2 linked regions of the Pelodiscus sinensis genome follow. The protein of the gene in region 1 purifies or fractionates together with the protein of each later gene. This does not show direct contact. Links are inferred from orthologs where the notes say so. Each region holds a gene or a part of one and is shown in the gene's direction. Other genes may lie near its edges.

The links. The genes of interacting proteins can lie anywhere in the genome.
Region 2: the proteins of HDAC1 (region 1) and KPNA1 purify together in Homo sapiens (affinity purification with mass spectrometry; 3 studies listed by BioGRID and IntAct, with this or other methods). This does not show direct contact. The link is inferred for Pelodiscus sinensis from reciprocal best matches to the Homo sapiens genes HDAC1 and KPNA1.

What each region holds. Positions count from the first base shown.
Region 1 is NC_134735.1:3,687,920-3,695,212, forward strand, and holds the start of HDAC1 (histone deacetylase 1), read left to right. Parts: upstream 1-4,244; 5' UTR 4,245-4,357; coding exon 4,358-4,406; intron 4,407-7,293. UniProt on the Homo sapiens protein: Histone deacetylase that catalyzes the deacetylation of lysine residues on the N-terminal part of the core histones (H2A, H2B, H3 and H4).
Region 2 is NC_134711.1:138,989,241-138,996,782, forward strand, and holds the start of KPNA1 (importin subunit alpha-5), read left to right. Parts: upstream 1-4,467; 5' UTR 4,468-4,595; intron 4,596-4,611; exon of another isoform or gene 4,612-4,809; intron 4,810-7,542. UniProt on the Homo sapiens protein: Functions in nuclear protein import as an adapter protein for nuclear receptor KPNB1. Binds specifically and directly to substrates containing either a simple or bipartite NLS motif.

The sequences.
Region 1 (7,293 bases):
CAAATCGATGGACTCCCCCACTGTGCAACATAACCCTCTTTGCGCCAGAGCCAGACGGTCTCCGGGACACCCCCGAACACGACCCAGTGCCCACGAAGCTGCTGCTCCCTGCCCTGCGCTCTTGCTGATTTTCACTGTGAAACCACATGACTCTGAACAATGCCTGTCACGCGATGGGGTGTGCGAACAGAAAATAAGCACGGCCAAACTGGGTCAGATCAAAGGTCCATCTAGCCCAGCATCCTGTTTGCCGACTGGGGCCAACGCCAGGTATGAACCAGAGGGAATGAACAGAACAGAGAATCAGCAAGTGATCCCTCTCCTGTCGCCCATTCCCAGCCTGACAGAGGCTAGGGACACCATCCCTGCCCACCCTGGCTAATCGCCATTGATGGACCCAGTGCTTTTTTTGTTTTAAAAAAAAGGTGCTGGTACTACAGGGGAAAAGTTGTTGAGCTCTGACTAGAGGGGCCGGTACTGCGTCTGGAGGTGCCAGTACTGCATGGCAGTACCATCCCCAAAAAAGCATTGGCTGGACCTATATACTCCATGAATTTATCTAGCTCTTTTTGGAATCCTGTTAAAGTCCTGGCCTTCCCAACATCCTCTGGCAAGGAGTTCCACAGGTTGACTGTGCGTTGTGTGAAGTATTATGTAAGAACGGCCAGACTAGATCAGACCAAAAGTCCATCTAGACCAGGATCCTGTCTTCTGACAGTGGCCAGTGCCAGACACCCAGCAGGAGTGAATAGAACGGAGTCATCAAGTGCTTTCTCCATCACTCATTCCCAGTTTCTGACAGAGACTCGTGACATCATCTCTGCCCATCCCATTCTCCATGAATTTATCTAGTTCTTTTTTGAACTTCCTTTTGTTTGTTTTAAACCTGCTACCTATTCCTTTCATTTGGCGACTGCTAGTTCTTATGGTATGGGCACAAGTCAATCACTTTTCCCAGAGCCCTTCCAAACGTTTGGTAAAACCGCCACCAAGTGCAACCATTGTAGCCAAGGGAGAGAGGAGCAAACCAGCAGGCGGAGAAGGAGACATTTCAGCTCAGACTGCAGCTGACCTGATGAGTCAGGGAGTGTGGAGAGGTAGAGGAGGCTGTTTCACCTGGCAGGAGCTGCAGAGGTGAAATCTCTTCTGTTTTCTCCGCACCGTTGACCGTGACATTAGTGCCCTGAAAAGGGGATCGAGACAGGCTCAAACCACAACATTTAGCTCCAGAAGGGGGGCTCAGAATTCGACCCCAGGCTGGGCTGGCAGGTGGTGGCTCTAGAGTGGACCCACACCTACCCTCGGGGGTTCTACATAGTCCCCCAAAAAGGCTTGTGGGAGAGAAACCTTCTCAAGTCCCTGGAACGAGCCTCTCTGAATGACCAGCCTGTGAGGACTCTGATCCCCCCCCTGCCCTTGTATTTTAAAGCCCTGTCTTGTGTTGCTCTTTGATTTTCAGTAAACAAACACCTTTCGGTAAACGGCACCCGTGTCCTCCACTTGAGGGGGTGGGAGGGGGCGAGCTTGACATTGGGTGTATACAGAGGTGGAGGGGGGGCTCCTGGCTCTCCTTGAAGATGCCGAGCGGCAGAGGAGTGGCCCCTCTCTTCTGCCGCGGGGGCCAGTCGTGCAAGACCGTTCCAGTGCCGCGCGGGCGGGATCCGAGCCCCGGGCGTGGGTGGATTTATTTGTGTGGGGTGGGTGGCTCAGCACGACACAGAATCAGGCCCGAAGCAGGGCGATGGCTGACCGCAGGGAGCTGTGTGTGCTCACAACCTCACAGGGGGAGCCCAACCGGGCCAGGCCCCGAGTCAGGCCCAGTGGGATGGGAGTGAGGGCGCTGGGCGGGGGTGGGGGCCTGAGGAAGCATTCGGCAGAGGGCGAGGGGCACACTTGGCACTAGCTGGGGACGGGCAGGGGGCTCAGTTGGGACAAACTTAACACCTAGCAGGGTGAGAGGGGGGACTTCAGACAGTGCCCAGTAAGGGGTTGCTGGTGTCACAATTTCTGGCAACCTCCGCCAGTAGTCACCCTGTGTGATCTATTTTAGGCTTCAGGCTACCAATTATCACCTCTCTATGGTGGAGACCTGCATCTCATCCCTTCCTGTCCAGGGATTTTAAACTACACTGCTCCCTGGCTTACATATTCCCAGCAAGCCAGGCTGCCTAGCAGGCCAGCACACTATGCTTTGCTTTCTCTCTAGGAACTAGGCCCAGTGTATTGCCTAGAGGTGTAGGTAGGTTATCACCCAGTTCTGGCTAAGCCAGCACATTTATTCTTAAGGTAAAAGCACTACAGTACAGCAAAAACACATTAATAAAAGAAGCTATGTGCAAGCTAGAAAGTCTGCTAGAGGTCACCCCCTCCCACTCCAGCCTAAGGCTCTGGCAGGAGTCTGTCCTTCAAAATCCACAACTGAATGTTTCCTGCAGTTACAAGTTCATGTCCAGAGATCCAGAACTGGAACCTAGGCTGGGCTGATCAGCTGTGTCTGTATGCTGCGCTCACCTTTGCGCTTGGCCCTCTGTAACAGGTCAATCCACAGACACTTACCCTTTCCTCAGAGGCTACGTCTACATTGGCAAGATTTTGCGCAAATAATTTTAACACAAGAGTTTTTACGTTAAAGTATTTGCGCAAGACAGCGTCTACACTGGCATGTGCCATTGCGCAAGAGATTTGCAAAAGCATCCATGCCAGTGTAGACGCTCTCGCGCAAGAAAGCTCCGATGGCCATTTTAGCCATCAGGCTTTCTTGCGCAAGAAATTCATGTTGCCTGTCTACACTGGCCTCTTGCTCAAGAACAGTTGCGCAAGAGGGGTTATTCCTGAGCAGGAGCGTCATAGTTCTTGCGCAAGAAGCGCTGATTTCACACATTAGAATGTCAGTGTTCTTGCGCAAGAACTCCCTGCCAGTGTAGACAGACAGAATGTTTTTGTGCAAAAGCGGGTGTTTTTGTGCAAAATCATGCCAATGTAGACACAATCAGGGTGTAAAAGGCTGTTTTTTGCATAACAAGGATTGGGGAATTTGTATTAAGCTTTCCCTAGGGATTCCCAGGAAACCCACTTAACACATATTGTCTCCACAATTCATGTTTGTTCAGCTCATTTTCAATATCGTCTTTTGAACTCCCAAGTGTCACATTTCTCTCTCTCTCACACACACACACACACACACACACACACTGAAACATATTTTGGGGGGATTAACAAAAAAGTCTTGCAAGGGTATAGCACAACTGGCATGTGGCAGAAGCTGTGGTGACACTGGTCAGTCCCTAGGTGAAAGAGCTGGGTTGTGACATGAACAAATAGCTGCCTCATTTGCACAGACTAAGGTGAGGACAGCAAGTGTGAAAAATCAGCTCACTTTTTTCCACGGGTGCAGGGGATTGTGTATTATTGAAGCATCTGGTGGCGATGGTGGTCCCCTGAATGCATCCCCCCACCAATGTTCCCTCTAATCTTTCCCATCCATGTGTGGATTTTTTCCATTCATGTGTGGAATACATTTTATGTGCATCACCAGTAGAAACAAAACAACTAGATCTGGGTGCTCTGCTAATCAGCTGGGCAGCACTGGAATCTCTCCAGAACAGCTGCGCAACTGCCCATCTTACAGAGACCACTGCCCCCCATGACCCCAGCCCTACCCCCACCTGGGGCAGACATAATGTCCCCTCCCCTACAGTCATGCTGGCCCCAGTGCATTCTGGGACTTCTGCTACCTCCAGCCCATTGCAACCAGGCCTATGGACATGCCTGGCCCCTGGGCGGTGCACTGTGGGCTGGCCCTAGCAAGGGACTAGAATCTAGATGGGAATGTCTTGTGCAGCCATGTGGCACGTGATGTCATAGCAGCAGGGGTCAAGTGGTTTAGTCCTTGCTGCCCAGACCACCCCTCTTGTGAGAATAGGTCAGTCCTTTCAGCCCAGATTCCTCTCCTGGGGGAATGATACATTTCTGTCTGAACTCCCCTCCCATTCTCTGAGGAATGGTACTTTTCCTTTATCTCTCTCCCCCTCTCCCCTCCACCAGTGGTAAACTCCTGTCTGTTTAGACCCCCCCTTCTCCGGGAGTGGTGCCGTCCTGCCAACCCGTTTGTCTTTTTCTCCCCCTTCTCTAGAGTGGTACAGTCCAGGAACACTTGCGCTCTACCTACCGTGCTAATGCCGCCACCCCGACCTACGTCACTTCTCATTGGCTATTCCTCAGGAAGTGGGTACAAGCCACTCCCCGATAGGCCGGCTGCCCCGCGCGGGGGCGGGAGGAGCAGCTCGCGGGGTGCTTGGCCCCCGGGGCGCGTTCGGTTGCGCTGCGGGAGGGTTTGGTGCGCTCGGGCGGCAGGAAAATGGCGCTGACACAGGGGACCAAGCGGAAAGTCTGTTACTACTATGACGGTGAGAGCCCCGGGCCGGGCCCCGCGGGGAGACACGGGGATGGGGGGCGCTGTGGGGGGAGGGGCGAGGATGGGGGCGCTGTGGGGGGAGGGGCGAGGATGGGGGCGCTGTGGGGGGAGGGGCTCGTGGGGGAGGGGTGGGGATGGGGAGCGCTGTGGGGGGAGGGGTGGGGATGGGGGGCTCTGGGGAAGGGCTCGTGGGGGGAGGGGCGAGGATGGGGGCGCTGGGGAAGGGCTCGTGGGGGAAGGGGCGAGGATGGGGGGTGCTGGGGAAGGGCTCGTGGGGGGAGGGGCGGGGATGGGGGGTGCTGGGGAAGGGCTCGTGGGGGGAGGGGCAAGGATGGGGGTGCTGGGGAAGGGCTCGTGGGGGGAGGGGCGGGGATGGGGGGCGCTGGGGAAGGGCTTGTGGGGGGAGGGGCGGGGATGGGGGGCGCTGGGGAAGGGCTTGTGAGGGGAGGGGTGAGGATGGGGGGCTTTGGGGAAAGGCTTGAAGAGGGAAGGGTTAGATGGGGGGGTGCTGGGGAGGGGCATTGGGGAAGGGCCAGGAGAGAGGTTAGGGATGAAGAGGGTGCTGAGGAAGGGTCTAGAGGGGTGAGGATGGGTGCATACTGGGGAAGGATCTGGGGTTCTGGGGAAGGGTAAAGAGGGAGTGTTGGGAAAGGGCCTACAGTGAGGGGAAGATGAGGCAAGGAGGGGTGCTGGGGCAGGGCCTGGGATGGGGGCAAGGAAGAGGAAAGGAGGGTGTGGGAGAAGGCTCACCAGGGGGTGAGGATGAGATGCTGAAGTGCCCTAGGCTGCTGGAGAAGGGTCTGTGGGGAGGTGTTAAGATACTTTTGAATACTTTCGGATCTATACTGGTAATATCAGTCAGCACAGTTGCTTTTTTTTTAGTTGGTGAGATTCTGTGGCCAGGGTTATTGTGTAGGCATTAGGTATGGCGGGCAGTGTTTTGTGTGTGTGTTCATTCCATGACATTTCCCCAAAAGTTGGGTGTTACCCTGGTTGGAATTTGGCCAGGGCAACAGGGCTAATTCAGTGGGAGAATTGGCAATTGCTTCCTCTTATTGTGGGGCTAGGAGGTATTTGTAGCGATCATTCAGGCATCTTAGTATGGTTTATTTAAGTGTTCTGCTCCATCAAATATATATCGGGGCTTTTATTTCTTCAATACAGTACTTGCAACATTAGGCCCTGGTTCCAAAATGAGATCCACTCCTGCCTGGGCACAATGCCCTACTGATTTCAGTGGAGTGCTAGATGGGGGTCAGCCCTGGCAAAACTTGTTGCTGTCTTTGGTTCGGCCAGTTACCATTATACCACAAGTCTGACTTCTCTTGTCACCAACAGCTGATCTGTGCGCTTGAGGCATGTTAGACATAAAATCAAAATATTTGTGACCCACATTAATGCCCCAAGGTTAAACTTTGTGCATCCTTCAGGGTTCCTGGAAATACAGGTTTCTGGTGGTGATATTTGTGGGAATGCTGTACCTGTCTGAGTGATTGTCAGATGGTGAATGAAAGCTCTGTCTGGGGTTCTCATTGCCCCTTCAGATGCACAATATTTGCACATGTATTCACACACAGGTGATGAACTAGGGTTTTGTCATCATGGACACAAAGGTGACATTTGTGTTGGTTTTTATTCATTTTGGTTTTTACACCATGATGATAACATGGCCTTAGTTACAGCATTGTAAAATACAACGTGGTGATGAGGCATTTGTAATTTTATCACAAGGTAGTGAGGGAAAGTGAGTGTTATAGCTCCTCACCACCTGCTCATGCTTAACCTAACAATAAAACTGTGGTGCTTGGTTTCCACCTGTTTGGTTCAGCAGGATAGGTAATGCTTGGAGGTCAGTAAATATAAAGACTAGCATGCTGGTAGAGTACAGTTTGTAATAGCGTTTTAGGGGATGTCTACGTAGTGTTTAAAAAAAAAAAAGTCTCTTGACTTAGGTTGTTTGGATTAAAATAGCAGTGAAGACCTGGCAACTCAGGTTAATAGCTCAAGTCCAGCTCCAGACTCTCTGTAGACTTTAACTTGAGCCCATAACACAATATAAAAGCAGAGTTGCTATGTCTTGACTGCTATTTTAACCCGGGGCATGACAAGTAACCCAAATTAAGAACACACCTTTTCTGCAGTGTAGACATGCTCTTAGAGGACACCGAATTCCCACTGCTTATGAAAAGAAATGGTAAATAACTTGGTTTAGCAAAATAGACTTCAAGATAGACTGGCCAGTTCAAACCACTTGTAAGTTGCACGTGACCAAGTTGCAAGTTTCCTGGACTGTTATTAATGTGGTGTTTAAATATTGCTCTCTACCATATGTTCCCTAGCTAGTCCCTAAAGTAACATAGGACTCCTTGTTATTTTAGCATCTTCCAAGTCTTTTGGGACTTGTTAATGCTTGGAATTAACCTAATTCTCAGTGTTGGTACCACTGCATCAGCATTAAGTTCTATTGTAGACAAGGAAGGCCGCGGTCTCCCCCAGTTTCAAGCAGATTAAAACTGCACCAATGCAAATTGTGATTTTTCTCTGTCTACACAAGGAGAAATGTAGCGAAGGCTTCAGTCTTTGCAGGGGCAGTGAAAATTACTCCTGAATGTTGAGATCCATGATGAAACATTATATACTCCCAACTGAGTCACTGCTAGGCCAGATTGCCTCTCTTACTACTTAGGGTGGTTTGGGGTTGTGAAACTACTTGACTCTTATTTTTTGTCATTGTTGAGTGTGAATCACCTATAGGATAGGCCTGGATGCACAGGAAAGCACTGATATACAAAATCTTATTTTATGATCCCAATTATTTTAGTTCATCTTCACAGTGCATTGCAGGCATTAACTGTGTTCGCGCCATGTGCACCGGTGAG
Region 2 (7,542 bases), on another chromosome or scaffold:
CACCACAATGCAAGAGCATCTCAGTGCTTTGTCCCTCTTGAGCACTGAGAATGAAATTGTCAAGTCTTTGAATTATGATGAAATCATTCATGACTTTGCCATAGTTACAGGTGGAAAAAATGTTTAAGTGTAGTGAGGGTAGAATACATGTGTTAAGTTTATGTAAATATGTATATAGATAAATGTTTGATGACTTCATAATTTTTTGCAACATACTTAGGCCCTTCCTTCCCATTAGCCTTAAGTCCCTCAAAACATTAATCCGCCCTGCCAGAGTTAAATGAGCTATTCAGAGCTCTAGCTGAAGCCAAAGCCAAGACATTCCCTTTAGGGTTGCCAGATGGCTTAACCAAAAATACTGAAACATCCCCTACCCAAAAAAAAACCTGGGGAAAAAATTCTGTTGAGGAAAATAAAGGGAGAGACCAAAGTTGTTGAGAAAAAAAAAAAAAGGACCCCGAGAGTTGTTAATTTAAAAAAAAAAAAAAAAGCATGGCCCCTTTAAGAAACGCATTTAAGGCTTTTTGGCTCTAGCAGGCTGCCAACAGCCATCTACCATCTTGTCTTCCTTCTCCGGGCCAGACTGCTCCCCTGCGGAACCAGGTAAGCACTCGGTATTTTTGCCTCCTGGCCAGGAAAAAAATCAGAAAATACCGGACATTTTAGGCGTCCGGTATTTTCCGAAATTTTTTTAATGGACAGAAGGTGAAAATACCGGACTGTCTGGGGCAATACCGGACACCTGGCAATCCTAATTCCCTTGTCTGTTTCACCAGTGGAACTCAATCCTGTAAGTATACTCAGAGTCAGCTTACAGGATTGGGGCTCTGCATAAAATATGGGTGAGGACAAGAAATCTGGGTATGTATTGCTTCAATAGGACTCACATATGCATTACTGAAATTCCAAATTCAGATCCCTGATCTGGAGCAGGGACTTTAATCCAGGCAATGTTCTCCCTAATCTTTTCCATTGATGTGCAGATTTTGTTCCATCCAGGTGCAAAATACATGTTTATGTGCACCAAGGCATGTTCATGTGCACTGATCCCAGGGAATGCTCTGAACACCAGTGTTGCTCTAGTGCAGGTGTGATGCACCCTAAGGGTACTCAGAATTGTGAAGCACCTCACTATCACCTGTCATTTGTGTGAGAAAGTTTTGACTGAGCCTGCCAGGAATCAGCTCCCCAAATCCTGTTATGGACAACACATATACTCTCTTCTAGGCCTCACAGGCCCCACTGTCCCTTTACAGGTTAGTGATAGGTACACTCCAATCTTCAAATCCTCTAAGCATCCCCTTGGATTGGAGAGTCCAGCTCTAGAGCCGCTGGACACTGATGACATTCAGATTCACTGTTTCCAAAGGAACAGAACTCCTCAATTTACCACTTTCACATCAGATCAATGCTCTGCTTAGCATATAGTGCTCAGATATATGTAGAATGAAAACAAGAAGCTTATTTAACAAAGGATTCAAATTGTAGCAAGTGAAAGTACTGGAAACAAATGAGTAAATTAAATCATAATGCACATTCTAGAACTTAGAAATCGATTACAAAGACACCCTCACGTAATAAATACAGCTCACCTTATGACTTTGCAGCGTGTCGCGAGAATCACAGGTCCGATAATGAATACCCAAGGGGGGAAGGACAGAGCCTGTGGCCACGCGGCGCATAGGGTTGCTGGCCCCAGGCACGTGGCTCATGGGGGTGTGGCATATGCACGGCCCCGCCCCCGGGTGTGCAAGTGTCCCTGCCCTCTGGCACCTGGCAGGCGAATGGCCACGCCCCCTGGCACCCGGCAGCTTCAAATGGTTGGGGACCACTGCCATAGGGGTTTCTTGATCAAGAAATTTATGTTGACTGTCTACACTGCCCTCTTGTGGAAGAGCTCTTGCACAAGAGGGCTTATTCCTCTTGGGGAGAGGAATAACTCTTCTAGAAGAAGTCCTGTTTTCTGACACTGTACTGTAAATTTACAGTGTAGACAGCAGGCAAGTTTTTGTGCAAGAAGGGCTGTTCTTGTGCAAGAAGCTGCCAGTGTAGACATAGCCTGTGTGTCTCCTGTTGCCCTTTGCCAGTTGGCACCAAAGGATTCCTGGGTCATAATAGAATAGTGATAGAAATGTAGCCGTGTTAGTCTGGTGTAGCTGAAACAAAAAATAGGACTATGTAGCACTTTAAAGACTAACAAGGTGGTTTATTAGGTGATGAGCTTTCGTGGGCCAGACCCACTTCCTCAGATCAAATAGTGGAAGAAAAACTGGCCAGTGGTTAGTTAATATAAAAAGAAAAACATATTTTGTACCATCCTCGCAACTTTAAACAAAATTCCTTGTATTCTTGAATGCTGCTTGCTAAAATTAATAAGAGCTGAGTATATGCTGCCCTAGCAACCTGGGATATTATTTACTTTCTGCAGGGTCTCATCCTGAGCAGCAGCTCTGGCAATCACAGTCTACATTTTGTCTGAGACGGGGCAGTTTTTTAAAGAAATAGGGTTGAGTAGTTCAAAAATCTAGCTTTGTATTTTGCACCCCTTTTAGTCAAATGCTTTAGTTAATTTCTGCAGGCACCAAATCTCTCCCAGCTTTGTATATAATTTGTAAATTATACATGTGTAGTTGCAAAAAGAATCTGTGTACTCTTGGAGGCTGGGGTGTTTGCCAGGCTTCTTTTGGCAATGGCAGTAAGTGATTATGACTGAATGCACTCTTGTTGACACACTCAGCATCCTACTGCAACAACTGTTATGAAAGATATGCCTTGTGAAGTATCATTTGAAAATTAATAACTTGCTGGTCAATATTATGGTGAAATGTATGTAGCAACATTATATGTAGCATTATGAATTTCCCCTGTATGATATTACCACAAAAGTTGTTTAACCGGTCTAAACTAATCAAAAGAATGTGTTTACCTCAATTTGTATATATGTAGTAAATACGGTTATTGAGACTGCTTGAAGGGGAAATAGCAGCAGACAAGGCAAATCTATATTTCATTATATAAAGAGAAGAAACAGCATGAAACTTCCTTCATGGAATCCCCAGACTCCAGGTTTCGTTCTTTACCTTTTGCATAAACTTTGCTTTCAGGGTTAATTCTCAGAAGAATCCCATTTCAAAGGGCAACTGGACTATAAAAGTGAGAGGCAAAAAGTCCCCCAGTACATTTGTCCCTCTCTTTTGCTTTAGAAGACAAAAGAACCATACCTGGGACTTAATGGAGATGCACGTGTGAGAGGAAGGATCCAGACTAGAGAATTTGATCACACATATTACTGGCAACACGTGATAAGGATCTTACCTTGAACTAAGTCTAGTTTAAGTTTTAGTTACTAGAAAGCATTTCATCTTTATTTCTCTTGTAAACGTTTCTGTCTTTAATGTCACATACTTGTACTCACCTTGTACTTGTAGTTACATAAAATCTATTTTAATCTAAACAAATCCAGTGCTATGTCAAACTAAACAGTGTGGTAACTCCACTTAAAGTAGCAGATTTGAATACTAAGAACAGACCTCTACTCTCTGGACTGTCTGGAGAAGGTTGGACACTGCATAGCATACATTTTTGGGAAAATCCAAGGCAAGGAGTGTGTTGGGGTTACACTGCAAGTAATAACCAAGGATAGTGGAAGCCAGAGTGCAAGAGGGTTGGGGGCAGGCAGCAGATACAGAGACATGCTTGCAGGCTGTTCACGAGTGATCCAGGTTGTGAGCTACAACAGCAAAGCCCTAGGAGGCACCTTAGGTTGCAGGACAGGCAACGACACAATCACTCACTGCCCTGGATTGCATTCTGGAATATGATAGCAGTTAATGGTCAATTTCAGACAACACAGGCCTCCTATAAATAAACGGTTCAGCCTATTCACTGCACTACAGCCTCAGCCTCTTCCTCCAGCTGTGTGCGCTGCGGGTCGGGTGTGGTTATTGTCACAACACCGCAGGGCTGGCGCCTCTTTCCCAACCCGCTGCAGCTAGTTCCCAAGCTCTCCCGGCTGCGGGGCCAGGAAACGCGCGTAGGCTCCAGTTCTCCTTGCGCGGGGGAGGGGTGCAGGTTCTGGCACCAGGCGCAGGCTTCCTAGGAGCAGCTCGGCGCCGCCTCCCCCCCCCTGTGATTCTGGGATAGCAGGCGGCGCGCGCCACCAGCGGCGAGACGAGGCGCGGCACAATGACGCAGCCCAGTCCTCGCGCGCTGCGCTCGCGCCCGGCCGGCCCCCGCCCCCGGCCACAGCGCCTTCCACTGCGGTTCATCCACTAGCCGCTAGCGCGTGGCCGCACAGAGGCGACGCGTTGCATTCTGGGAAGCTAGTCCTCTCGGCCCGGACCTTGCCTGTCGCGTGGAACGATCGGAGAGTATCCGAGCCCCACGCTTGGCGGCTTGCGGGGACTCTATCTCCCAGGGGCCTGTGCGGCGGGGCCGGAAACGACGCGTCGAGAGGACACACACACACACACACACACACACACGCGCGCAGCCGCAGTGAGCGCTGCAGCGGCCAGATCTGGGCAGGCGGGCGAGAGGGGAGGGGCGCCCGCGCGCCTCGGGCCCGAGAGGAGAAGCCGCAGGCCGGGCCTAAGGTACCAGAGCGGAGGGACCGGGCGCCGCAGCTGCCACTGCCCGGCAGGGCTGTAGTGGCCCGGAAGAGCCGAGCGACGGGCGTGTGGGGGTCTCGGGGCTGGTGCGGCAGCCGCTGGGGAGCGGGGCCTGGGCCGGGCGCTGCTGGAGCAGTTCGAGAGCCGTTGCACGCGCTGTCACCCTGCCCGTGGCGGGACCGTTGCCGGCGGCGCGCGCGTGAGTAGGGGCAGTGCCCTGCTGAGCGGGCCCTGGGGCGGGTGCTCGTGCCGCTGTCAGGTACCGCGTGCAGCAGTCGCGGTTCGGCCTCGCGTGCCCAGTGCCGTGTGTGGGTGGAGCCGTGATAAACGAGACCTGGCATTGTTGGGGGGAGGGGGGAGGACAGTCGTTGGGGTTTCAGCAGTATCCTGTGGTAAAGTTTGTGTTTAGCTCCCGCACGGCATTGGCTTGGCAGACTGTTAAGGATGTAACATTTCCAGATTTACACTTCTGTTTCAAGAGAAGCAGTTTTCCTAAATGTGAAGAAGTTTCCTTTAGCTTCTTTTGAGTTACAGGCTGTTAGCTTGGGCACTGAAGGATAGGTCTCAATTCCCTGCTGCCATTTAATGCCAAAAACTCTAGGTTTTTTACTTTCAAATAGTTTAACTTTGAAAAGATGAATTATTTTGGTGAAAGTGAAGGAAATCTGCTTTTACAGAATGAAGTGGTGCAGCTTTTTAAAAAAATGCAATATGTGTATAACGTTTTTTGTCCATATATTTGTTGACATGTTCAAACTCTTTCTGGATTGTTAAGGAAAAATAGCCACCATATGTGGCTCACGTTAAGATGGTTTTGAGAATCACACACCTCTCACCTTGATAATTCACCCTTCAGAGTTAGGTTTGCATGTTGGTTTCAGAACTCACCATAGAGAGAAACAAGGTTGCATTGAGGATTTTAAGCACAACAGTGAGAGTGCATTAAATGAATAGAAAGATAAAAATATGACACAGAACATAAATATTTGGAGCAATATTCTTCAGCCTTCACAGCTGATAGTTTCTTTGCTCAGACTTCAGTTTCCTGGCAACTTTCATAGTGAACATCACTTCTTTTGCTTTTGTCGTTGTTAATCATGCAAAACACTTTAGGAAGTTAGTCTTAGCTGGAGCCATAATACAGTAGAAGTAGTCTTGAGTTGAGATTCCCAAAACCCACAGTCCCACAATTGAGAGAGAAGGTTGTTTTGGTTAAAAAAAACAATAGAATGGAAGTGAAGGCTATGATACAAAAATTATATATAACAAATGGAAGGTATGAGAAGCTGAGAGGAATTGTAGAAAATGCCAAGGAATGCAAGGAGAATCCTTTGGCCTGCAGAGTTAAGTAAGTACTTAAAATATATGAGGAACAAAAATAATCATGACAATGGTGTTGGTCCATTACTAGATGGAAGAGGTAGAATAGTAATGTGGAAAAAGTATAAGTGCTCAATAAATATTTCTGTTCTATCTTCTGTTTTACCCCAAATGTAGTTGGACTGTGATAACATTTTTTTCCCTTCCATTGGTATCTCTGGAGAAGGGATGTGAATGGTTAATCAGTTAACTGATAAGGTTTAATGTGTGAGTTTTATCAGTTTTGGTTTACTAGTGGGGGCTTCTGTGGGCTGGAGCACTCCAGACCGACCAGAGCAATGCCTATCTGTGGTGGGCCCAGCACATGCGCATTGTACACAAGGGCTTTCTGGCTGGCTGTGGCAGCCTCTGTGGGGAGCGGATGGAGGAGAGAAAGGAGGGGGTGCTCCAGTACCCCTGCCAGTCTAACCACCCCCCCTTCATCAGGTAAACATTATTAAACATTACATTTAATCAGTTAACTGGTTAACCAGTTAAACAGGATTTTACATCCCTACTCTGGAGGATGTTAAATTAGATATTTATAAATCGAAGGCTTCAGATAAAATTTTAAAAGAACTGGCTGAGGAGCTTGCTGAAGTGTTGATGGTAATTTTTTTCACAGTAACTTAACAGTGGCAATACTGGATTAAAACAGTGGCCCATATAGCCAAGTATCCTGTCTTTTGACAGTGAATGATACCAGATGATTCAGAGGGAAAGAACAGAAAAGAGTAATTATTGTCTGATCCATCCTTGTTGTCTAGTCCCAGCTTCTGGCAGTCAGAGGTTGAGGGACATACAGGGCATAGGGTTGAGTCCCTGACATTCTGGGCTAATAGCCATTGACTGACATATTCTACAGGAATTTATCTGATTGTTTTTTCAACCCAGTATAGTTTTGACCTTCACAACATCACCTGGCAATGAGATGCACAGATTGACTGTGTTGAAGTAATATCCCTTATGTTTTTTTTAAACCTGTTGTCTAATAATTTCATTATCTGACTTCTGGTTTTTGTTGTTTGAAGGGATAAAAACTTTCCTACTCATTTCTCCAATACCATTCTTTGGTTTCGTGAATGACCAGACAGTGATGTGGCAGTTATGTATTGTTTTTAACCAGGTACCCCCTGCATTACATGTGCAGGTCTGTTAACCCTCCCCTCACTCACACCCACATGCAGTTGACACAAGCAATAAAGCTCCTGTTCAAAAATCATTAGTTTCTATTTATGAAACCCAGGCAAAAGAGAAAGAAAAGGAGGTCAGTGTGTGAGTCTTGCAGGGAGGAGGTGGAGGGCACAATGGCAAGTGGTTTATTACAATCCCCCTGTGTAGCAACCTGTTTGTCTTCTTATATTTAGTTGTGCCCCGTTGATGTGGGTGAATAGCATTTGCTCATGAAACATGTTATCCTATGTCATGTTTTTTAGCTGTCTGATCTATGATAGCTGAAGTGCTGCAGGACTTAGGGGAAGTGGGTAACAGACTCACTGTTGCAGCTGCATCGAGGGAAAAAATGAAGGACAGGCTTTAGAGACAATACCTTGTAGAATGCAGAAGCTAGTCT